Struthio camelus: one gene and its partner. Each later gene encodes a partner of the first gene's protein in a complex. Links are inferred from orthologs where the notes say so. Each region holds a gene or a part of one and is shown on either strand. Other genes may lie near its edges. The genes, in order: ACVR2B and GDF2.

Evidence for each region.
Region 2: the proteins of ACVR2B (region 1) and GDF2 are in contact, whole or in part, in a crystal structure (PDB 4FAO), measured with the Homo sapiens proteins. The link is inferred for Struthio camelus from reciprocal best matches to the Homo sapiens genes ACVR2B and GDF2. Residues at the interface, in NP_001097.2 of Homo sapiens: Asn35, Glu39, Cys49, Glu50, Glu52, Lys55, Leu57, Tyr60, Ser62, Arg64, Val73, Lys74, Cys77, Trp78, Leu79, Asp81, Phe82, Asn83, Glu94, Gln98, Val99, Phe101; in NP_057288.1 of Homo sapiens: Arg333, Ile346, Ala347, Pro348, Lys349, Glu350, Tyr351, Glu352, Lys397, Ser399, Pro400, Ile401, Ser402, Val403, Leu404, Lys406, Gly410, Val411, Pro412, Thr413, Leu414, Tyr416, His417.

The regions. Positions count from the first base shown.
Region 1 is NC_090943.1:7,504,894-7,508,804, reverse strand, and holds the start of ACVR2B (activin receptor type-2B), read left to right. Parts: upstream 1-1,070; 5' UTR 1,071-1,459; coding exon 1,460-1,511; intron 1,512-3,911. UniProt on the Homo sapiens protein: Transmembrane serine/threonine kinase activin type-2 receptor forming an activin receptor complex with activin type-1 serine/threonine kinase receptors (ACVR1, ACVR1B or ACVR1c).
Region 2 is NC_090948.1:22,147,315-22,151,225, reverse strand, and holds the start of GDF2 (growth/differentiation factor 2), read right to left. Parts: upstream 2,678-3,911; 5' UTR 26-2,677; coding exon 1-25. UniProt on the Homo sapiens protein: Potent circulating inhibitor of angiogenesis. Signals through the type I activin receptor ACVRL1 but not other Alks. Signaling through SMAD1 in endothelial cells requires TGF-beta coreceptor endoglin/ENG.

The DNA of each region.
Region 1 (3,911 bases):
AAACCTCATCTACCCTCCCCGGTCCGAGCATGCCTCTTGAGCGCCGGCGCAGCAGCCGCTCAGGCGCCGCGGGTGCCCCTTGCGCTGCCGCCCCGCAGGGCGAAGGGCCCTCGTTGCCTGCGGCTGTGCGCGGCGCTGCTGGGCCAGAAGCCGTGAACACACTGGCGCTTGCACCAGCCTCACGGCAGAGGATACAAACACACAGATGCACGCGCACGTATATATCCTCCTATATACACGCATATATATAAAACATCTTATTATGCATATATAGTAGCCTCCTATATATAAATAGCCTCTCATATATATATTTTTTTTCCTCGCAAGGAATAGATGGGTTAATTCCATTCTCTCTTGCTCGGGGGGGGGGGGTGGTCCCGGGAAGCCCCCCTTGCGCGGGCAGCGGCGGCGGCGGGGGGGGCTCCGCGGGCGCGACGGGCAGCGCCGCCGCCGCCCCGCTCAGCGGCCGCCGAGGCGCGGAGCCCCCGCGCCGCTCCTCCCTCTCCCCCCCTCCCCTCCAGCCCTCTTTGTATCAAACATCCGGGTTTCCCCCGCTGGCTCCGCTGTGGCTTCTCCCTTTTTTTAGAAGCCATTTTGGACTCGGTTCAGGTTTTTTTTTTTTTTAAATTAAAAAAAAAAAACAACCCTCCCCTTCCCCCTCCCTTTATATTTTTTTCCGCTTTTTTTTTTCCCCACTCCTCCTTCCTTCCACCTCCCCCCCCCAAAAAAAAAAAAAACAAACCCGTACATGGCAACTCCCGCCGCAGCCCGCTGCTCCCGGGCCGCCCCCCCCCCCCCCCCCGCCGCCTCGCTGCGCGCCCCGCGCAGCCCGCGATGCCGCGGCCCCCCGCTGCGCGCCTCGCTCCGCCGGCCCTTGCCTGCCGCGCAGCCGCCGCCGCCGCCGCCGCCTCGCAAAGTTTCGCTGTGCGGCGCGCAGCTTGCGCGCGCGGGGTGAGGGGGGGGAGAGGCGCGGGGAGGAGGAGGGGGGAGGAAGGCGCGCCCGCGTGTGTGCGCGCTCGCCCCTTGCTGCTGCTGCTGCTGGGGGAGCCGGAGGGGCTGGGCCGGGGCGGGGAGGGGGAGGAGGAGGAGGAGGGGGAGGGGGAGGAGGCGGCGGTGCGGTGCGGTGCACGCCGCGCTCCCAGCACAAAAGCCCGGGCGAAGAAACTCTTGGAAAGCGGCGAGGCAAAGCCGGGGCCGGCCGGGCGCTGCTCCTCCGCACTGGATACATTTTGCAACTGCGAAGGAATTAAATCCGATTTTGTAGGAATTTTTTTTTTTTTAAATCCCTATTTCTTCCTCCCCCTCCCCCCTTTTTTTAAAAAAAAAAAAGAAAAAAGAGAGGACAGCCTTTTTTTCATCCCCCTTCTTTCACTCGCTCGAGCAATTATACATATATATATATATATTTTTTTTTTCCTTGGGGATAGAGGGGCACGCAAAAACAAAAAAGTGAAGGAATATGATTGCTTCGTGGCTGACTTTCGCCTTTCTTTGTGGAACTTTCTGCGCAGGTAAGAGCGTTGCTGCGTGTTTACCTACGTTAGCCTCTCGCCGTGCCAAACCGAGCGGGCCGTGCCATTATTGGGAGGCAGCCTGCGAAAAAACGGGGCAAACCGGCGAGCGAGCGGGCGAGCAAACCGAGGAAGGGGGGGGGGGTCACCCCAACTGGTGGGCTCGTTTTAATTTAAATCCCCCCCCCCCCGCCCGCCTTCCCCATACACACACGCTCCCTTTAGTTTTCTTCCTGCTTTACAGGACGAGCTTTCCCGTGCTGCTTTTTGTTCCCTTCAGTCGGGCGGCGTGAATCAATGGCAGTGTAAACACGCCGCGATGTCGAGGAAACTTTGCAAAAACCGGCTGTTCGCTGCTGAGCGCGGGGGCTGCAGGAGAGGCAGCGCGCGGGGGGGGGGGGGGAAGATTTTGGGTGCCCGTGCGCGGGGTGCAGCCTCTTGCGGGGCGGGGGGGGGGGGTGGTGAGGGCTGGCGGCTCGCCGCGTCCTGCGGGGGTGTCACCCCCGGGGGGAAGAAGGACTCCGGCCCCGGCCGGGCGCCCCCCGCCCCCGGAGCGCCCCCATCCCGCCGGGGTTACGACAGGAGTCATTTGGGGACTGGGTCGTGATGTGGGGAGCTGGGAGAAAGTTGTGGTGGTTGTTTGTTTTTTTTTTTTTCTTTTTCAAGGGGGGAGGGCTTTTGTTGCGGGGGGTGCTTAGCTTATTTTATTTTATTTTTTGCTTTTCTTTTTTTCTTTTTTTAATTTTTCAAACCACGCGTTTCACTCGCCCGGCCCTGAACTTCAGCCTGCTGGCTGCGCGTTTCCCTAAGGGGGAGACCCGGGTGCCGGGGTGGGGGGGGAAACAGTTGCTACAAACACCGGGCTGCCCTGGGGAGGGGGGAGCGGGTCGGACCCCCGGGCGCCCCCCCCCCCCCCCTGCCCTGAGCGTGCCCGCAAGGGCCGAAAACGCGGGCGGGCTGCGAAAGCCCCTTCTCTCCCCGACTTTCCCTCCTCTTTCATGTGTGTGTGTGTGTTTCGCCCCCCTCCCCTTTTTACTATTCCCCTGCCAAATCAGAGGTGGTGGTGGTGGTGGGGGGGTATCTCACAGCGCTGCTCCCGGCCCCCTCTTTATGTACCAGTTGCGCGGGGATGGGCGCAGGGCAGCAACTTGTCCCGCTGCGCAGCCGGGGCGCGGAGCGGGGTTGGGGGGGGGGGGGGGGGCTCCGAGCAGCGTTCCCAGGGTGCGGGAGAGATGCTGCAGTCGTGCCCTTTGTAATTTATTTGTCTTCCCTGCGCTCGGCCGGGGGCCGCAGGGGAGTCCCCGGCCGCTGCGCCCCGGGATTTGGCCGGGCTGAGGCGGGGAGGGGGCGCCCGGGGGGCCGCGGCGGCTGGGGCAGCCGGGTGCTGCCGCGCTTCCTTTGTTCCGAGTGCCCATTAAATATGCGCTGCCGCTGCCGGGGGTTTGTCTTGCCGACAATGCCACCCTGTAATTACTATTTTTTTTTTTTTTAAAGCCACGCTCAAATTGGTGGGGTTTATGGAAAGGATGTAGGGTTTAAAAAAAAAAAAAAAAGCTTTGGCCAGCTCAGGCTTTTTTTTTTTTTTTAAATCTAATTGATGGGACACTTGTACGCACAGCTTTGTTTCCATGTGTTGCGAAGGGGTTGTGAGGGATTGTATTTACATACCTGCTCTCGCTCTCCGCGCTGCTATTTGGGAAGGAGCAGGGCTGTGTGTGTGTGTGTGTGTGTGTGTGTGTGTGTGTGTGCCATCAGTATTCGTGGTATTCAGGGTGGCTGTAATCACAACAGCTCTCTTGGCTGGAAAATTCTGTTATGGGCATAAAGGAGATTTATGGTTAATGTATTTTCTTTCTATATATCTTGGAATCCTTTTATCTCGGGTGATTCAATAAAAGAGATGGCTTCCGGGTTTTTGTTTTTGTTTTGGTTTTTTTTTGGTGGTGGTGGTTGTTGTTGTTTTTAACCTGATCCTGTGGTTGTGCATATAGTGGCAGAAATGCAAGTTAGAGGAAAAAACAGTTGCTTTAAAAAAAAAAAAAATTAACCCTGAAAGCTTCTTAAATGTATCATGTTATGAAAGGGATAATCTGATAGGACATACCTACACTGACTTTTTTCCCTCCCCCCGAAAATATAATAAAGAACCCTCAGAAAAAGGATATAATTCTGTTTGTTTGGAAAGGTCCTCACGGATCATTAAATCAGTGCATTAGCAATTCTGCAAATCTCCCCCTCTCCTCTAAAGCCTTTTCCGTGTTTCTGGCGATATTTGTGAGTATTTGTCCATACGATCCTCATTGTCCGTTTTTTTTTTTTTTTTTTCCCCCAAAGCTGTTCGGTCAAGAAACCCCCCCCCCCAATGCCAAATACCCGAAGTTGCAGCGGGTTGCTGGGGGT
Region 2 (3,911 bases), on another chromosome or scaffold:
CAGCCAGTACCCCAAAATAGTGCATTTCTTCTGTATTTACTTTCTGATGAAGAGACAAGAGGACAATGAAATTGTAGGTGATTAAAACTCTTGTTTCATTACAGACAGAGGGAGGTAGATAGAAGGCAAAAAACTGGTGCACCCTTTGCAAATCACTTTCTTGAATTCTTTTTGCAGTCTGCTTCAAACCCCAGCCTCTTGTCAGTTGTCAAGCAGATTGGTTGTACACTTGCCCTTATCTGAGTCATTGATGCCATGCTTCAGCTTCTGTTATCTAGCAAAGCTCTTAGTTAATGAAGATTCTATAAACATCTGACAAACACATATGGCTGGTGGGAAAGACATTGTATATTGTAAAGAATTCACATTTCACTTTGGGGTCATCATTGCTTAATTACACTCCTTTACCATTTCCTTGCCAACCCAGGGAGAAGCTTTCTTAGGGACGTGGAGGATTACACTGTTTTCATCAAGACTAGAAAATCGAGGTTCAGAACAAAATTAGTCTATCAGCTGTTAGTGAATAACACCTCACAAATCTCTGTTACAGTCCCTTCACCTACCATTGCAAAATCCCCAACCATTTGATGGAGACCTGTGATTCAGCAAGACGTGATCTCACAACAATACAAACAACCTTAAAATTTCTCTCCGTTTATCAGCAAAGAGCTATTATTTGTACACAGTGAAATATCTGTTTTGTGTCAAGTTTGCTTCATGTTGTTTGCAGGCTTGTCCATTTGCAGTTTGATTCCTTTGGTGGATGGGAAGTACAGCCAAATCCACATTGTGTATGTGCTAGGAGATTAGAATGGTATTATGAGCTCTTACGTTACAAAAATACCTCGTTGCAAAGATACAGAAAAGATTTTGTCCTGTCTCAGCACTCGTCCATTCTTCTCCAGTTTTCCAGGAGTGCATACAGAGTGCTTAAAGTGAGCCCATGCTACTGAAATACTCCTGTGTCTGTTCAGGTGACAACTGGGATCCCAGATTCTGGTTAACTATGTTTCTATGGTGTAAGGTTAGAAGGGCTATTTGGCATTGATCCTAATCTCCTGAATAGCAAGATTGTTATATTTCTCTCAAGGACTTTGTATTTCCTACCTCTACCAAAGTAATTTCCTACCAATTACTTTTGTTTGGCTAAAGCATAACTTTTGTAAAGGTCTCTAGGATTTATGTGCAGGTGTTGCAAAAATGGAAGATTTCTTCACATTTCTTGGCACTTATTCTAGAAGATTTTCACTGTCACTTAGAAAAAATGGTGCTTCACTTACTATTTCACTGTGCCTGGCTTCACCTTCTAGGCACTAGTTCTTGTAACTTTTCTGCCAGCTTAAGGAGCTCCATAGTGCTGGCATTTTCTCCCTATCAGAGTACTTGTACCCGATAATCAAGTTGCTTCTCCGTTTGCTTTCCGATAAGATAAAGAGATTGTATTTTTTAAGTCATGTGCTATAAGACATTTTCTCTGTTTTTCTTGCTGTTTTTGTGTCTCTTCTAGAGTTTCAGTATTTTTTTGAAAAGGTGAGCTCTAGGGCTATACATAGTTTTCTAGTGACACTCCACCAGTGCCACGTGTAGAAATGAAATCTCCATTCCTTCTGTGGTTTACTACTCTACTGTTTATCTTTTCAATGCCTTCATTAACTCTCTTTATATAGCATCACCCTGGAGTCTCATATTGTGCTGTAAGTCCAAAATACCCACCCAAATTGTTTAAAGAATTATGGCTTTCAAGGGCATAGTCTCCTGTTCGGTAGGAACAGCCTCCATTCCGTGTGCCTAGGTACCACGCTCTGCATTTGTCTACCTTAAAATGAATTTTGATTAACTAGAATGCAGCCTGATCAAGTGCTCTATACAAATACCTCTCTCCTAAACAGTGTCTTCTGCAAATACTATTTGGGTTATTATATATTGACTTCCAGTTCATATATGAAGCTGTCAAATAGTCTCAGGCCAACTGTCATCTTTGCAGAAACTCTTCAGTGAGCAGCTTTATTCGGTGACAGTTCCCTTTTGAAAGCTGCTCTTTGACATTTGGCAGTGAGACAGTTCTTAATTCATGTGATACACAAATATATGAATATTGTCCAGTGATCTGGATTTTAATTATGCTCCCTTGTACAGCTGGGTCAAAATATTCCACAAAAACCTGAGTACATTCTAGCTATTGCAGTTACCTCTAGCAATTAAACTGGGACCTCTAAGAATTAAAGAGATTTTGTGTTAGAAAAACAGTTTTCCATAATACTTTGCTGGTTAGTATCAGCTGTTTTCCTGTTTTTTCCGTCTTTAATCATCCCATATTAATATACCCTCAATTCTTTTAGGATTATTTAGTGGAATTTTTCTGACTTGTTAATTAAGTGTTTGTCCATAGTAACTTTACCTAGTAACTTGCACATTGAGTGGAACGGTTTATAGGATGCTCCTAGGAATCAGAAGAGCTGTTAGAAGAATATCACTGTCTTGCAACTGCATTTGTGCCATTTTAAAAACAATTAAATGAATTAAATGCGAAGGTTCCTTCTGTAAAGGCACAGATTAGACATCTAAATATCAAAGCCCCAGGAAGTAATAGCCACTTCTAAACAAATAGTGGTTAAGGCCTTGCCCACATCAAAGGATTGACCAGTACAGCTAAACCAGAAAACCTACCTAGTAACAAACATGAGAGTTTATTTTGCTTCTCTAAATTACATTGTTTCTCCAGATAAAATAAACGTTGCAAATAAGAGAATTGTCTTGCTTGTGTAATAGGGGAAGCTGGAATAGCTATGCCACTTATGGGTATAATTTTACTTTCCCCATGCTAAATGACATAGTTATGCCAACAATACTTTTAAATGCGGACTACACCTTTAGGGGTTTTATAGGTTCCCTATTGTGTGTAGGAGCAGCGTTTTCCCTTACATCCTATAGGCCTTATAACAGATCAGGGGATGGTATCTCTCTTTCCTAACCGCTTGCCTCAGCACATCTTGGAAAGCAACGATATACTCAAGGAGTAGTTCGGAATTTAAAAAAAGATTCCCTAAAGAAAACAAAATGCAATAGACCGGACTATTACACTAGGCTAATTCTATTCAGAGCTGATGTTAAATGGAAGGAAAACTATCCTGCAGAAAAGGTAAATATTCACAGGGACAGAAATGACAATGGTTTAAAATTAAGAAAGTTTTATACTTATGGGTGTACCCTAGGAATAAATGATGAATTTCTGAGAACTTTTTAACTTATGCATTAGTATTAACTCTTTCAGCCTTAGTTTACTCTGTAACTATGAAAAGAACTCAAGACCTTGCAAGGGAGATCTTTAATAGCAGCAGTACACAAAGCTCTGTCCCAGTAGTTCCTTTGCAAATCACTAGTGATTTGGGAGAAGAAGAAATGCCTACCTGGATCTATGCCCTTTCTTTCCTTTCTCTAACTGGCAGTTACTACAAGGTGCCTCAGAGCTATCTACTTATTGAGAGGTGTTTAGGAGGAAGTATGAAGAACTGTGGACAGAGTGGCTGTGCAGACAGATAAGTCCGTACACACTGAATCTTGATTTTAAGTGATTTAGCAAGAAGTGCCACATTTACACACCTCTGCTGGCTGGGAATCTTTACCACATAAAAATGGAATATCGGTGGCAGAAGTTACCTAGGGCCTTAGCAGGACAGGAGCCTTCACAATGAAGTCATTCACATCAGAAGGTAGTGTGTATAGTATCGTTCTCCTAAGCAACACAAATTTAATCGGGCAAGATAGTGCAAAAGGTTAGACTGCCCCTTGAGGGGTAAACTCTCCGCATCTTGCACTTTGTCCTGCCTCACAGACTTCAGTAGTTTGTTCTGCTCCTAGTTGTCTTATGCTATTGTACAACAGGTTAATGAAAACGGAAGAGAGCATGGTCA